Saccharomyces cerevisiae S288C: one gene and its partners. Changing the gene in region 4 together with the main gene of any one other region gives a genetic interaction. Each region holds a gene or a part of one and is shown on either strand. Other genes may lie near its edges. The genes, in order: FCF1, YAL064W, FHL1 and BER1.

Region 1 (3,727 bases), on a different chromosome or scaffold from region 4:
CCTAAGTGGCCCACAGTTAATGAACATACCATAGGGAAAATCTGTTCCAATAAGAATGTGAAAATTAGAGGGAAGGAATAAGATGCCAAAACTCTTGCTTCTGATTTGAAGGTGACGTGGCTGTGAGCCAATTCTGCTAGTGCCTCAGAATCGTTCTCGTCGATCTCTTGGTAAATTGTGGGAACTGAGCCTCGGCTAGTCACAGATACGAATGATGGTCTTCTGTGATGTGAGGTGCCTTTAGCGTCTGTTACCGCACTTCGAGTTAATTTCTGTTTCTGAGCTTGGAGTCTATTCATAAATTCGTCATATTCTAGTTCTCTTCCAGAATATTCTTGTATTCTATCTGGTGTGTTGCTTTGACTTGCTTCCTCATTATCAGAGTTGCATACCGATGAGTATCGTCGTTCATGTTCATGTAGAATCCAATCAACATCTTGTGGCGAAAGCTCAGGAGTTTCTGATACCCTTGATGGTAGAGAAATCGTTCTGCTCAGTTCGCCATCTTCTTCATCATGATAGTAAAGGTCAGGTTCCTCATCAATATTACCTAAGTACGGATTTGGTTCATGGACGTTACTTCCAAAATCATCTGTTAAAGATCTGAAACTCCTCTGATCAATATTTCTCGTTCTTGCACGAAATTTTCGTACCAGAGGATTCTTCTTGTTGGGAGGTAGGAAGCCTAGCGATATCCTCCTGTGAGTGTTACCGATACCCATACCATTTGTTCGGAGGGAAGGATGCACTTCTGAAAGAGTCTTTGACAAAATTCCAGCCATTTTTTCAACCTTTTTTTTATCCGTATATATTAAGGTATGCTATATGTGTATTTTCCAATGTTTAGTTTTTATAATAATACTTCTTCAGCATCAAATATGCTTGCTTATGTAAAAATACAATCAAGTTTTGTCCCTTGCTTGCGCGAAGATGAAAACTTCCTTAAGAAATATTCTGCATCGCGTGGAACCCATGGAAGAGGATAATAGCTGACAGTGATATTATGAAAAGATGCCAAATGGTTACCGTTTATAACTGTTACTGGTCGCGTCTCAAACGCCCTCTTTTTTCTCCTTGCATTTGCGTTTCTTTAGAGCAATTATTGAGTAAATGGTCTTGAAAAGAAATAGAAATATCCTTAGGCATTTCAGTTCATCTGAAAACATGCTCCAATACGGGCAAACCATGAACTTGTTGTTATGAAATTAATATACATATAAACCAAAAACATTGCACTACATACTTAAAGAGTGAATACACAGTAGTTTAAAAGACATCTGGCAATTTTTCAATGACGTATGCGTGACCGCCTACGCTCATCAAAGGAATTCCAGGGATTTTTCTAATTCTTTGTTTCAGGCCGGCATCGTTTGTAGCTACGATGTAACACTTATGTTGTAAGACTCGATGCACTAAACAGTCATCCGCGTACGTACCCTTGTGCGAACAGCTTAGTCTCTTTATTCTAGGATCTCGAGCCAGTTTCAAGGCGATACGGTACTTGGGGCCCAATTTTTCTAACTCTGCCATCACACAATCTGTGATTAACGGGTTACATTTTGCGAGTAGACAGTCCATCATTCCTCTAACAATATCGACTTTTTTCTGGATAGAAAAATTTATAAAATTGGTATCTATCAGTACTTGATAAGGTGGCTTTATAGCTTGATTGTATTGAAAGAAAAGTGCACTTGATACTTGTGGTATATTCCTGGTTAGCTCAGGGTCTTCTTTAGTTTTGATATTTTCCTGGTTTTTCTTCAATCTTTGGTCTTTCTTGGTGTTCAAAGTTCTTTTTACGAGGCCAAACTTTCTTGTTTTCTTAGCTTTACCCATAATTAACTGTTGTAGTATATCGATATTTCCGTTACAAGTCACTGTTATTGTGTGTTAATGCACAGTAATGTTTAAAGAGGCATCATTCAAGAATAGTAGCAAGCTGAAAAATTTTAGCCGTTCATAATGATACCTTTAGAAATATGCCAAATTTTTTTGTTATATCTTCCAGTAGGAACCGATAGTTTGAGTAATGTTTATAAAATCATTGCAAGTGAATAAGCAATTAATGGCAATAGTCCACAAACGATAGGTACATGAAGGTGGCTCACAATCAAAAAAATCAAGCTTTAAAATAGTGGATGTAGAAAAAATAAAGTGCGTCACAGACAGGATTCGAACCTGCGCAGGTAAAACCCAATGCCTAATTGCTTTTCTGAGGAAATAGCAGGCATCGCCTTAACCACTCGGCCACTGGGACTGAAACACTTTGAAGTGAAAGTGTTTCTAGTTTTCTATATCATTACTATGGTGAAAATCTATATTTTCTTGATTAGGAATAAAATCATGGAAAGAAGTGTTGGAATAAAAATTCACTATCGTCTGTCAACTAATAGTTATAGTATCAATATACTATCATATACGGTGTTAGATTATGACATAAGTTATGAGAAGCTGTCATCGAAGTTAGGGGAAGCTGAAGTGCAAGGATTGATAATGTAATAGGATAATGAAACATATAAAACGGAATGAGGAATAATCGTAATATTAGTGTATAGAAATATAGATTCCATTTTGGGATTCCTATATCCTCGAGGAGAATTTCTAGTATATTCTGTATACCTAATATTATAGCCTTTATCGACAATGGAATCCCAACAATTATCTCAAAATTCACCCAATTCTCAATTTGATAATTGTTGGGATTCCATTGTAAAGAAAATCGGTATTTCTACATTATAATATTACGATTATTTCTCCTTTTGTTTTTTATGGTTTTCATTACCCTATCACATTATCAATCTTTATATTTCAGATTCCATTAAATTTGATAACTTGGTTGATAGATGACAGTTAATTCTTTTTCCAATAGAAACAACGAAGACTTTTTTCTTACTTTTTGTTGATGTTTTTCAAGTTCTGTTTGACCCGTATTTTTCTACGTTAAAATCGTGATTACTTTACGAATCTTGTTTTCTTATTTTTTTTCGATCTATTTAATGAAATGTGGACAATGGCCCCTAACAAAAAGATGGCAAGGATTGAAATAATCCGTTTATACAATTTATATCCAATTATAGAAATAAAACACATTTGAAGAATGGCTTGGTGGAAAAGTTTATTACATTCTTTCTACGGGAGTTAAACCTAACAAGCGCATACCGTTGTATAAAACTTGTCTTGCAGCACCATATAGAGCCAGACGGGCAGTTGCTAATTCTTCAGTTTGACCAGCAACCCATAAGACGTCATAACAAGAAGAAACCTGGTGAGTCAATTTGAATAAATATGTGACCACGGTTGTTGGCTCGTGGGTTTTGATTGCATTTCTCAAAACATCGGGGTATTGGCCTAGCAGTCTAATCAACAGTTTTGCGGCAGGTTCTTTTAATAACGAAAAATCGGCATTTATCCATTTTTCTTGGGTGATACCAGAAGCATTTCTTTCAACTGATCTTAACCTTGAGTGAGCATATTGAAGGTATGGACCAGTGTCACCTTCGAATGAAAGCATTCTTTCCCATTTAAACTCGTAGTTGTTGATACGCTTACCTTGCATATCTTGAATCATGACGGCAGAGATACCAACTAAATCGGCAACTTCTTCTGGATGCTCAATTTGCGCGTATTTGTTCTCATTCTTTTTCATAACTTCGTGCATTTTTTCCTTAGTTTCCTCCAAGATATTATCTAAGAAGACAACAGTACCTTTTCTTGTTGACATACCTTG
Region 2 (3,451 bases), on a different chromosome or scaffold from region 4:
AATCATTGGTTTTATGATAAGAATATCGTAAGAATTATTTTAACTTTCAGATTAGATTCCGGCCATATTTCTGACATTTGTTTTATTAATAAAAATTTGGCGAATGCTTTGATAACTGCTGATATTTCATTGTTGAAAAGGCATGATATAAGATGCACAAAGTATATTATAACTTATTATCAGAGATATAGGAACAAAGAAAAAGGGAAATTCATATCTCTATGTAAAAATACCATTATTTCCTCTTCTGTTTAATATGCTGTCCTTAATTTTCATGTTACATTATCAACTTTTGCATTTCAGTGTCCATTAGATCTTGGGACCATTTCCTCAATCTTCATGTCGTCTTTTCACACCGTATATAATATACTAGTAATATAAGTACTAGTCGATAGCTCGCAGTTGAGTCTTATTCCAACAGTTAATGACTCACTGTGCTTTCTGTTGCTGTAGAATTTCTGAGGCATTGTCGCTCTCTTCTATGTGATGCTACAACGGAACTAGGCTTCTTATATATCGTGGTCCTACAAGATCTTGGTATCTCGTTTGCTTACTTTGAAGCTTCACTGATATATAGTACTTAAACCACTTTTATGTTCATGGATAATCGTAATTGTACTACGCTGGTACCAGTTATGAACCCTATCAAATCATCATTGAACACTGCTATTTTTAACTAATCAAGATATATATGCGGCGTACTTTATAATTTCACGACACTATTGAAAGCAAACTAAAAATCAAGTAAATACCTATCCAAGTTGCGGGCTCTGGATTTATGTGGCCTTAAATTTTCGACCTATGGTTCGCTATTCAATATTAGAAAACCAAAATTAGGTACAAGTACTGATTGCGTCCGTGATTTGAAGAGCAGCGTTAAAAGATTACAAGATTTTGCGTGTCTTGGCCGACACTTAACTTTAAGCGTCTCGACTTGGTAACATGAGTTGCCAAAAGTTTTTCTCTCCAATCTGAATATGGGGAACCGGAATCTGTCTTTGACCTGACTTTCAAATTGTTGCATATGTAAAAAAAAAACAGAAGAAATATTATCTTGTCCTTCTAGCGATGCAAAAGGATTCATTACAAATCGTTGCAAAGGCCGAAAAGTTGCAGTATATTCGCATTGCTTATTTGAAGTACGTTTGTATACACATCGATAGTATTCATTAACACCACAACGGCTGAGTATACTATGTCAAACAGCACAATAAAGCCTGTCTGCGATTTTTTCCTCTACGTTCAAAAATCTCATTCAAGGCATAATCCCATATGTTGAAGATCGCTACCCATTGTTACAGGCAAACTGAATTTTTGGAAATGAGCTTGTACTTAGTAAATTTCTCTTTGCTTGCATCTTTTTCTTCCTTGTCAAAAAATAAAAGATACTCATTTTAAAAGCGCAGCCATATTGACTAAGTAAGTAATTATAATACTATGAGTAATTTTTGAGTACTGTGCTCATTTATTAGCTGCTTTTCTGAGAAAGATCCTCGATAATCAACTCCAGGTTAGTGGGGCGCTTCTACGGTCTCTTCTAACCAATTGTTCCCCGTGAGTTGCTTTCTCCGAAAACCTTATTATACATTAGGGTTATAAGAAAATTTTCTTTTTCCCGTAGATTAACTTGCAATGCCGAACTTCTAGATGTCACACCAGACCGTTTGACACCGCCATTTTCCTTCCTTTTCGGAAAAATGTGCCGATAAATGGTAAGACGCGACGCCACCGCTGCGAATATTGCGCTTATGATGAAGCAAAAGGAAAAAGCAAGTTCCCCTTAAATTCGTATAACTGTTTCATCAATCTTTAGTTCTGGCATTTGAAAGTTAATTAAACTTTTCTTCGTGGTTTCTACAGGAGTTCTGCATGTGCGTAATTCGAAGCCTGTGAAGGAAAAAGTATTGTCCTAAACAACAGCCGTAGAATACGTCAACTATAGTTTAAAATATTTTCTGGCTCTACCCGGTGCGATAGGTCTGGCTCTTTTCTATTTACTTTTGTTTGGAGTTGTTGAGGCCGATACCCGTCTAGATGTAAATATGAAATAACAGTTCGAGGTTTTATTACGAGAATGGAAAGGGTAATGGATTGGAGCATGTGTAAATGTCAATAGCAGAAAAAATTTACCGCAAATTGTTTCGTAGTCTTATCTTCATCGGACACTCAAGGGTTGCATAATTTTTACCCAAAGGAACAGTATACTTTTTTAATAAAAAAATCATGTTACCTATGGAGTATTGTAAGCATTTTCAGAAACTCGTCTTTTGAGTTCTAAATGCATCATACAACAACAACAATTTCTTATTACTGTGTCCTTTTGGGATTTTTCAGCCTTCCTGGCTTACCCAAAATAGCCTCTCAAGGTGAAAAAAACCATGCCTGCAAGCGGATCTAAGGATGAGTAGCTGGATTACAATAAATCCTGAATTTTCTCTGAGTGTCAACTTTGTCAGCGCTTGTTAAAGGGCTACTACGCTGAAAAAGAACCTGAACCCCGTTAATAGGTTGACGATTTTATGACTTGGTATGCTATTCCATACGGCGGCTCTCCTGATTGCGGTGGGTCATTGCTATAACAGTAAAATCAAGGAAGATAACAGGAAGAGTAACTTTAGTACAATAAATCTGTTGTCTACCGAGGATTATAATTGTTCGGCTTTCACACTAAGTTGAAAGGGGACTCAGGAAATGACAGGGTACGTTTTAGTTTCTTCAAATAAATCTTCCACACCCAGCTTCAATGTGGTAAACGGGGGAAAGTTGATTAGTTGATGTTGACACGTATATTTAACTGATGTAGAGAAGAACAACATACTACTAACGTCACAGTCAATTGTGCCAGTTTTCCAATCAAGATAATGTAAAAGTAATTGATATATGTTCGTACTGGTTTCCCAATTTCCGGGAAAAACTGTGTACATGGGTGCAATTCCTTGTGGTTATTTCCTTTTAAGTTATATTGCCAACCACATCATAGTACTATTTGCGGTCACTTCAGAAGATATGTTTGCTCCTTTGACCATGATATAGACCAGACCAACTGTACCGCTTCAGACTTCAGAGCATTAGGAATAAGCACCACTATTACACAACCATAGAGCTACTCTTACTGCCACGTAGGTAAAACACTTGCTACTACACACACTCGTAGTGACTCATCTGACTATATTACCGGTTGTTAAGAGGCACCAGTTCAAGCACGCCATCAAGAGTACCGAATAATCTCTTCTGTATCAAGTATTCTACCTTTATGTCTGACCCACGTATTATGTGGAGCAATTACGTATTTTTCTCATATCAGCTTTGTTTTTACTCAACTTTAATATCTTAGAGAAACAGATCTTGATGTTACAGCAAGGTCAAGAAAATATTTTGACAAAAACATACTAGTTTCATCCTTAGTAGTTGGTTCTATGAATGCTGTACTTGAAGCTATTGTTCATAAAAT
Region 3 (5,707 bases), on a different chromosome or scaffold from region 4:
CACTGCCGGCAATTGGGTTGCTTCTCAAACTGTGAAGAAAGTTATTGAGATCAACCCATTTTTATTGGGTACAATGGCTGGTGGTGCGGCAGATTGTCAATTTTGGGAAACTTGGCTAGGTTCTCAGTGTAGGCTGCACGAGCTGAGGGAAAAGGAACGTATATCTGTCGCAGCCGCATCCAAGATTTTAAGCAATTTAGTATACCAATATAAAGGGGCCGGTTTATCAATGGGTACTATGATCTGTGGTTACACTAGGAAGGAGGGCCCAACCATTTATTACGTCGACTCAGACGGTACAAGATTAAAAGGTGACATATTCTGCGTTGGTTCAGGTCAAACATTTGCATATGGTGTTCTAGACTCTAACTATAAATGGGATTTATCCGTTGAAGATGCTTTATATCTAGGTAAGAGATCTATTTTAGCTGCTGCCCATAGAGATGCTTACTCTGGTGGTTCTGTAAATTTATATCATGTTACCGAGGATGGTTGGATATATCACGGTAATCATGACGTAGGTGAACTATTTTGGAAGGTCAAGGAAGAGGAAGGATCTTTCAACAACGTTATTGGCTAAATAGAAGCATCAAACATATGTATATGCACATCTATATTAATGATACATTATTCTCTTCAAGGATCCAATATGGCTTCCCATAGAATTATGAAGGAAGTCCAGTTCTCATGTTTCCAATCATCACATCTATATATTTTTATATAATTATATCTTTAAGTATTGTTCGGTAATATGAGGACAGACGCCATCAATGCAAACAAAAAGTGAAACCCGAAATCAAACGAAGTGAATAAGTAGTTGTAGAGGCGACCCGATGGAAAATTTTGTAAAAATCGAAGACTGAATCTCAACAACGCAAAACAGAATAGGACGCATAGATTCATACCTATTACTATGGCTTGATCCGATCTATCTTTATGAAAAGATTTATGCTTCTACTTCGAATATGCTAATACTATTATCGAAATTTTTTAAAGTTTTTCCTCAAGGGATACATTTACTTCAGTGATACCCTCGTTGATATCCTCGCTGACCTTCCGCCTTTTAGAATCATGACCTTCTTCGTCGGTTTTTGAAATCTCGCGATTATCATTGCTACTATTCTCGTCTTTAGATGGAATATCATCTTTAGATTCGTTGTTTTTAATACTTTCACTATCGATCTTTTCGTTTTTGTTGTTCTTTTCATCTACTTCGCTTCCACTATCACTTTCGCTTTCGCTTTCACTACTAGTGCTGCTATTATCGCCGCTTCCACTAGCACTACCGTCATCGCTACCACTATCGCTCTCGCTTCCGCTCTCACTACTGGAACTGCTACTACTACTAGTGCCGCTTTCACTTTCTAAGTCGTTGTCCTGTGCAGGCTTAGGTTTGGGTTGTGCATCAACATTTTGAGAAGCAGCCGCCGGAACTGACGTAGCTGCCACAGAGGATGTAGCCCTAGCATTTTGTCTCGGTTGAAAAAATCGAGACAAGGACGAAGGATCAAACGATCCCGGTTGTTTATCATGCAAGTAATTATTGGGATGGGATGATGCCGACGCAGATAACTGAGATGGAGGCCTATCTGGTACATGCGGCGTCTGGACTATTGGTTGGCGTATCGGTTTGGAATGCTGTGCCTTAGCTGCTAAAGCCGCCGCCGCTGTAGTTTCAGGGTTCACTAATTGCTTTACCTCACCTTTTGTGACTTTTGCAGTTGCCGCGTTTACAGCAGCTGCTAAAATTAGATTCAAATGCTGAGGATTCTTGTCCATCAAGGCTGTAAGTGGATTACCAGTAATCCCCTTGTTTTTTGCCGCTTGTGTAACCTGATTTATTGTCATAGCTAGAGCCTGCGTCAAAATTGCAGCGATGACCTGCTTCGATAAACCCTTTCTATCTCGTGTTAAAATGACAAGCTGTTCCTGCAGATATTTCATTGTCCTTTGATTATCACTTGCTGTATTTTTCCTGTTCGAGGCGGCTCTGTTTGCTGCAAGAGTTTGTGAGATGTTTTGTTTTCTCGCATTAACGTTAGATCTCTGCGAAACAATATCTTTTTTGCCCCTCTGCGGCACTTGCTGAAGTTTGTGCTGTTGCTGTTCAAGTTTTAATTGTGCAGCTTGTGCCTTTGCCACAGCTATCTCACTTTGTTTCTTTTTCTGTCGTTCCCTCTCTGCAATATATTCTTCATCAAGACCCCATAACCATCCTTTGCCTTCTTTAGAAACCTTCCTGAAAGATTTATTTAGCGATAAGTTGTGTCTTACCGAGCTTTGCCACCCATCAGGACAGTATTTATAATAGGGGAAGAGTTCTCTTATTCCTGCATAAATTTCAGATAAAGACATTCCCTTGGCAGTCGAGTACTTTCGTATGCAAGTAGTTAGCATAGCAGAGTAAGATACAGTAGGTTTCGTTCTATATTCTACTGGAATCTCCTCCAAAGTATATACTTTCTTTGGTATTTTCGGTGGCTTCTTTTCTTTCTTAACAGCTGGTTTGGTCTGCGCTTTCTTGGGCTTTGCTCCAGTTGTAATCTTTTTCTTAGATTTGGGCTCGTTTTTTTTGAGATTTCTTGTATTTATTTCAGATTCTGCTATGTCAGCGTTTTCTGGGCTTTTGCTATCGTCGTTACGTTCTTGTTCTGGTAAAATAAATTGAAATGGAATTTGTCCAATTTGAATTTTTGTCTTATTACGAAGTGGCACAGTATTTCCTTTTTCAACGAAAATGTCATCCACAAAAGCACCATTCTTCCCTATTATGGACAATTCGAACCTTCCTGTCCCAAAATTGTAAAAAATCTGGGCGTGTCTCCTCGATATTGATTTTGAAGGACCAAGATTAACGTCAACTTTGTGGGAGAAGTCATTCTCAGACCTCCTTCCGATTATTGCATGTAATGTTTGTACATAAAATGTGAAACTTTGAAAGTCCAGCCTTGCATAGGCGAAGATAGTCGGTTGTTCATTCGGTAGCGGTAAACTTGCATCGATTGGCTCAGATAGTTTTCGTTGGGTAGTTTCAGCATCTGTACTATTATTTTCCGTTACAGTGTTTTGTGGCGGTTGTCCCACTAATTCATGCTGCTGAAACATTATTGGCGTTATTGAATTGTTTCTCATATGCAGCATGTTGTTTTTTTCATCTACTAATGTTGGTAGGGTCTCGGTATCTTTGTTTACTGATAATTTATGCACATCTGTGTATATAGCATCAGCAGTGGGTTCATCCTTTTGTATACTTGTATCTTCTGAGTTCCTTATGCCTTCAGTTTTCACTGCTGCTGTGTTATCTTGAGTTTTCTCCCTTTCGTCCTCATCAGGGTTTACTGGCTCTATATTGATATCTTCTTTTGATGAAACCTCCCTGCTGTGATCATGAGTTAAATCGATGTTATTTACAGGATCCATGGTGTGGGATAACAACTCATTTGAGTTGAACAGAGCTTCATCATTTTTTGCATCAAATTCCAGTAGCTTCGAAAAATCAGCGTTATCAAGGTTATCAGGTAATTCAAGTTTCAAATTTCCATTATCGTCTGTAACAGGATTCTCTACCTCGTTTTCAATATCAGTAGTCGTGTTTTGAGGATGTTTTTCCTCTGTTACTATATCAGAACTTTTTGGTAGTTTTGTTTCAATCGGTACCTCGCTTGTCGGTGAATTTGTTATGCTTTCTTTGGTTTCTTGGTCTTTCAATGCGGAAGAATCTATAGTAAACTGTGTTTCAGTGGTAGGCGATGAAGTCCCGACATGATTGCTGCTTTCTATTATTGCCATTTCCCCATCCATCTTATTCTTATATTTGTATAGATATGAGTGGGTTTTTGTTTTGAGCGGCTAGACGTTAAATCAGGTAAAAACCAGTACCAGGTATATTATGGTAATAAAAAAAGGAGAAAATAAAATGCTTTCAAATACAAAATTAATATTCGTGATGACCTTCTACAAGAGAAAAAAATGTGCCAATAGAAAAGTCCTATTTATCCAGCCCAGAAGATAATAGCAAATATTAATAGACTTTAAACTAACTCAAAGGATGACAAAGTTGGCCTTAGAGAAAGAGCTACTCCTTTCTTAGCTTGGTGACGGAATATATTTCAAAGGTTCCTTTGTTTATTTTTTATTAACGCTTTTAATTTTTCTTGTCTTAGTCTTCGTAATTTCCAGTTAATCGCAACGTTCAGAATGATAGTATGGCGCTATCATGTTGTGCTCTTTCATAAGAAAAATAAGAAATGTATTAACAGTCAAGAGTATGCAGAAAAGGTACAACAGCCAAGATTATGTTTGCGTTTATATGAAACTACTTAGTATTCAGCTCGTAAAGCTTATGTTATATTTACTGTGTTCTATCAATCTTCATATTTCTAGCTTTAATTCTTTCCTGAGAGTTTATCACCCAATCGAAAGTACCATTGAAGTCATCCTTGATATCACCTGTAGTCAAATCAAAATTGTCATCATCTAAACCGAGAAGCAACACGATTTGTGTCAATTTCAAGAACTTCTCTCTGAGATTATAGTTCAAGCCACACATATTGCCGATGAAAAGGCTCAGTTCTCTATCTAATTTCGTAACACCAAGTTCATTGAATTCTAGAGTCCATATTCTTTGCTCCAATGTTGTTACGATGTAGTCGACTATGACAGATAGCAACTCTGCATATGCTTCGTTGTGAAGAATATTTTTGTAAGGGATAATCAATTGGTTCCATTTGCTATTGAAACTGTTAATTTGCGACAAATCTTCGAAATCTTCTATGCTTGTGATGTAATTCTTTTGGTTCGAACCTGCAGAATAATCGCGAGACACATTTTTTTGATTGGACGTTGAGGAATTTGATGAGGCTGAATTAACAAAAACAGTTCCCAATAAGTTCCGAACCCTATTTTGTAGGATATTTTGGAACAAGTATTTGACAGCCCATTTGCTTAGCTTATCTGTTTGTTCCAGGACTAATTTTTCTGAGTTTATAATTAAATTCTGTAACTGCGCTGCATCATTGTCAAAAGGGAAATTGTCTCTCAAAATCCTTTGCGAATCGTCTTCTAATATTTCTATGGATAACAGCCTGTGAACGTATACTTTACTCAAGTACAACGTGTTCAGATATATCAAATAATGGTGCAACGCAAGAATGGAATCCTCGTCCTCTGCAACTACGGCTTGTAAATTTGATTGAATATTTGTCAAAGCGCTAGCTGCTGCCCCTCTAAAAGTGAACCTGCTTAGCGGAGAAAACTTATTTGCAGGTGGAGAAACCGATCTTGATGTTGCAGATTGCTCCTCACCTTTTGGAATGTATCTTTTCAAAGATACATTGGAGGCTAGTTTCGATTGTAGTAACTTAAATTTGTTTTGCATAAATTTTACCAGAAATCGGTTCTGAAAAAATTTTACCAACTCGTTCAAAAAACTTGCTAAGAGCTTAAACTGGCCAGTATTAACCACTGATATCAGATTTTTCCGAACTAATAAAATTAAGTCATCTAAAACAGATGTTACAGGGTATGAAATGTTATCGTGGTCATTGAGGGGAACAGCAGTTATAAGATCGTTCAGTGACGGTAATTCTTCTAGTGAAATACTATTTCTAAATGATCTCTGCAGATGGTTCAACACAAACACCTGAAACTCATCAAAGACCTTATCTTGCTTTAACTTTAAGGCAAATTTACCATCTGCTATTGGTGG
Region 4 (3,947 bases):
AGAAAAGGTTACTCTCCACGTGTTTAGAGGGCTACCCACAAACCGTCATAAATCATACCTCCTTCTTTGACGAGCGTATTGCGCCGTTCGAATGATTCATTCCGCCAAGAACTAAATGAACTTCAGGTTTGGGTCTTTCCACTTTCTTAACCCAACCATTCGTTTGCGTCCTTTTTGCCCCAACCTTGATCTTAAAAAATTGCAAGAAGAACTTTATTTATCAATTCGCCCGCGAAGTTAAAAAAAACCGATCTTCGCAGGCACTCGTTAGAACTTAGAAACAGTTCCTCTTAGGGCAAGCGCCCTTGTCGTATTTAGCCTTCTTTAAGTTGAGCTGTAACGTTGTTCGAGTCCGAGAAGTATCCTTGACAGGGACGATAACCATCAGCAGGAAAAACGGTATTTTCATTTATATCCTTTCCTCGAGGAGGGCTTGAATTATGCAATCTCTAAATACTATTCAATTCAGAGAGTAGATTTTTGTGGGCAAAGTAGACGTCGCTCTCTTTCAGTATACGTTCTTGAGCTTTCCATTTCAATGAACCGGCAACTAAGTTGGTATCCTTTCATGATCCTGTCGAGTACATTTATAACAATCATGTTGATTGTTCCAGTATCATAGATAAAGCGGTCTCGTGTCGTTATTGATGGTAAAGCGTCAGGTTACGATGCCCTGAAAGGTTACAGTTTAGTTATAAAGTACTATGTAGTGAATGATATGTTAGTACTCTATAGCATGTAACGTCAAGTCAGAGAAGGAATTGATCCAGGGTTTTTCCTTCAAATACTTTCCTTCATCAAAATCGGTGAGTATTTGGCAGGACTTAAACTTCGGTGCTATTGAATCATAGTCTATATCAGATGGTGTGACCTTGAGTTTAGAGGAGTTGTTTCTGTTTTTTCTTTTTCTCTTTGGAATGAATGTTGCAAAACCATCTACATCATGTGCTTTTTTAACTTCTGGCGGAGCGTTAGTCTGCAAGTAATGAACTAGCTTGCTTAAATTAGGATAGTTTTCACAAAGTTTTGCTTTGGTGTATCTATCGGTGTGTGATATCATATTATTTGCCAGCCATAAGTGTGGTCGCTGTGACGATAGTATGTTCTCAGTTAAATCCAAAGGAGCATGGGGAAGGAAATATAATACCGATTCATAATCAATTGCATCGTTCTCTGAAAATTCTTCCTCTATCAGCCATTTGCTTCCTAAACTTTTCAAGTACTGTATCTCTTCTTTAGTAAATATTGGATCATACAGGGAAACAACGACATCCCTTTCATCCTCACTTTTTATATAATCAGTAATCTCTAGGAGAAGAGCGAATTGGTACGTCGCAGGAAAATCCTCCTTGAAATTTCCAATTGCAACACATCGTATTTTCTTAATGTTATTGAGGTGCGGTTGTAAATTTTCAAGTAAATCTGAGAGGAATGCTGATTTTTTCAGAACATCTCTATTTGTCTGAACAATTTCTTCAAACGCTTTAGCAGGCACTACCTTCTTGCCAGTTTTCTTAAACTTTGTCCCACTTGCTTTAAAATCCATACAGCAGAAGACCGGTCAAGGTCATTAACTTCGGTATCAGTTCAGGATCTTAGCAGTTTTCTAGAGTTCAAATAAGTTTTCACTTTTTTCATCGCTACACGTCGAGCAAGCATCATTCCTTACCCGACCCGCAGATAGTTTACTTCCCATAGAGCTTTTATTATAGTTTTACATCAACTAAGGATGTTCAAACCGTCTCGTTTCCCAAATATGCAGTCATGGAATATGAACACCTGGTGGTATTAGCTATTTATTTTTACACGAATAATTATTTGTTATTTAGCAGTCGTTACAAATAGTAACTTTTACCAGCTAATTATGAAAAAAATGAGGAAGGCGTCAATTTTTGAAACAAACCTCTCGGCTTTCCTCTATTCATTTTTGTCTTTCTACAAGCAGCATTTGCGATCATCACTCTCTTTATCATAACTCACTGTACCCTGGGCTGATCCATTAGCACCCAATGAGCCTAGAGGTTCATAGCAAAATATGAAACGACCAACGATAGCACCTATTAAACAACTAATAATGATATAGCCGTTATAGTACATGAACAGCAGCATGATGATATAAGATAACCCCCACTGTAATACGAAAATAGTAACTCTTATCATGTGATCCAAAAAAGTTGGGTACAAATCCACTGGCGTTATTAATGTACAGCATGATAGGACCTTCTTTAACAGGTCGTCTTCTGGCTCGTTCAATCTCCTTGGACCCCAAACGTAAAAACTATAAATGAAACTTTTTTGTAAGGAAATTAAAGTTGTTTTCCAGCTTGGTTCGTTGTAAAAGCCTTGTAGTTCTTCTATATCAGATTTAGCATCCTCTTCTCCACATTTGACAACGTACTCCTCTGGCGAGTAACTAGCTAAATGCTTTATTTTCTGTCTTTTTAATAGCTCTACGTCAAATTGCCTTGAAAAACGAGTAAGCCATTGAGCTACCACCACAAGCGCAAAACAGCCGATGCAAGAACCAGCAAATTTTCCTTTGGTGTCATTTCTCCAAGATCTGGCAATGAAGCAGGTGTCAATGGTATACCAATTCCATAACATCGATATTTTACAAGTCGCTTTTTTGGCAGCAGTGCTGCTACTGCCTCCCATATTCATCTTTGTATAGCCCTTAAATGTGTTTTCGTCTGTTGTTATCCCTCTTCTTCGATCAAAGTGTTAGGAAATGAAATAAGATAAATTACAAGTCTATCGGAGAAGTGAAGAGAATGTGGATTTTGATGTAATTGTTGGGATTCCATTTTTAATAAGGCAATAATATTAGGTATGTAGATATACTAGAAGTTCTCCTCGAGGATTTAGGAATCCATAAAAGGGAATCTGCAATTCTACACAATTCTATAAATATTATTATCATCATTTTATATGTTAATATTCATTGATCCTATTACATTATCAATCCTTGCGTTTCAGCTTCCACTAATTTAGATGACTATTTCTCATCATTTGCGTCATCTTCTAACACCGTATATGATAATATACTAGTAACGTAAATACTAGTTAGTAGATGATAGTTGATTTTTATTCCAACATACCACCCATAATGTAATAGATCTAATGAATCCATTTGTTTGTTAATAGTTTAAATGTTTTTATCGGAAGAGGTTTTGTCATCACATCAGCAATGTTCTTCTTGGTCTCGATGTAGTATACGTATAAATTATTACCTGATACTTCATCTCTAAGTCTCATTGCCTTTGTGCCAAAAAATCTGTTTCTAAATTTCTCTTCATTTGTAGACTTAATTATACTGATCGTTGATCTACTATCAGTAAGTAAGCCTTTAATAATTGGTTTCTTGTTAAGTTCTTGCACAAGGTGACTGAGGTTATTCAATAGCGGTATAGCTTCACTGACTGCGTGTATTTCTGCTTCTGTAGTTGAAGTGCATGTTAACGAAGCCTTTGTCGACTTTCCTCCAATCACTTTTCCGTTGAGTAGGAAAATGTTACCAATTTGTGACTTGTAATATGGTTGGTTACCATATGAAGCATCGCTTATTGCGACTAGTTTATTATCTGGCTTGGTAGGTTTGTTTTTGTGCCATATTAATTGTTTATCTCTAGTGTCCCACATGAATTGTATTAACTCATATGTCATGTCTAAAACTTGTCTAGAGGGGAATAGTATATGTTGAGCAAGTGTGTTGATGTAGTATAGTAAGTCAAATCTAAATTTATATCCAACATATGAAGCTAGACCAATCAACTTTTGCATTTCATGTACCTTCTCTTTGTATTCATCTTCATCTATTTCTAGTTCATCCTGGTCTATATAATGACCTGGTTGACCTGGAGCTCTAAGTTTCTTTCCTTTTGGGTTCAAAGGTACGTTTAGTTTGGGTAATTTTTCTGTCAAGGATTTTTCCATACCTAATTTCATGT

The links.
Region 1: mutations in BER1 (region 4) and FCF1 together harm fitness less than expected from each alone (positive genetic interaction), as found in Saccharomyces cerevisiae (one large-scale study listed by BioGRID).
Region 2: mutations in BER1 (region 4) and YAL064W together harm fitness less than expected from each alone (positive genetic interaction), as found in Saccharomyces cerevisiae (one large-scale study listed by BioGRID).
Region 3: mutations in BER1 (region 4) and FHL1 together harm fitness more than expected from each alone (negative genetic interaction), as found in Saccharomyces cerevisiae (one large-scale study listed by BioGRID).

The regions. Positions count from the first base shown.
Region 1 is NC_001136.10:1,148,685-1,152,411, forward strand, and holds FCF1 (rRNA-processing protein FCF1), read right to left. Parts: upstream 1,837-3,727; coding exon 1,267-1,836; downstream 1-1,266. Other genes in the region: YDR338C (uncharacterized protein), read right to left, coding at 1-782; YDR341C (arginine--tRNA ligase), read right to left, coding at 3,119-3,727. UniProt on the Saccharomyces cerevisiae protein: Essential protein involved in pre-rRNA processing and 40S ribosomal subunit assembly. Required for the early cleavage steps of 35S rRNA at the A(0), A(1), and A(2) sites.
Region 2 is NC_001133.9:19,199-22,649, reverse strand, and holds YAL064W (uncharacterized protein), read right to left. Parts: upstream 1,085-3,451; coding exon 800-1,084; downstream 1-799. Other genes in the region: YAL063C-A (uncharacterized protein), read left to right, coding at 1-255.
Region 3 is NC_001148.4:732,633-738,339, forward strand, and holds FHL1 (Fhl1p), read right to left. Parts: upstream 3,802-5,707; coding exon 991-3,801; downstream 1-990. Other genes in the region: PRE2 (proteasome core particle subunit beta 5), read left to right, coding at 1-580; Golgi transport complex subunit COG4, read right to left, coding at 4,352-5,707. UniProt on the Saccharomyces cerevisiae protein: Acts as a transcriptional regulator that recruits coactivator IFH1 to the promoters of ribosomal protein genes. Recruited to ribosomal gene promoters by RAP1.
Region 4 is NC_001144.5:945,967-949,913, reverse strand, and holds BER1 (Ber1p), read right to left. Parts: upstream 1,547-3,947; coding exon 722-1,546; downstream 1-721. Other genes in the region: high-affinity Cu transporter CTR3, read right to left, coding at 1,936-2,661.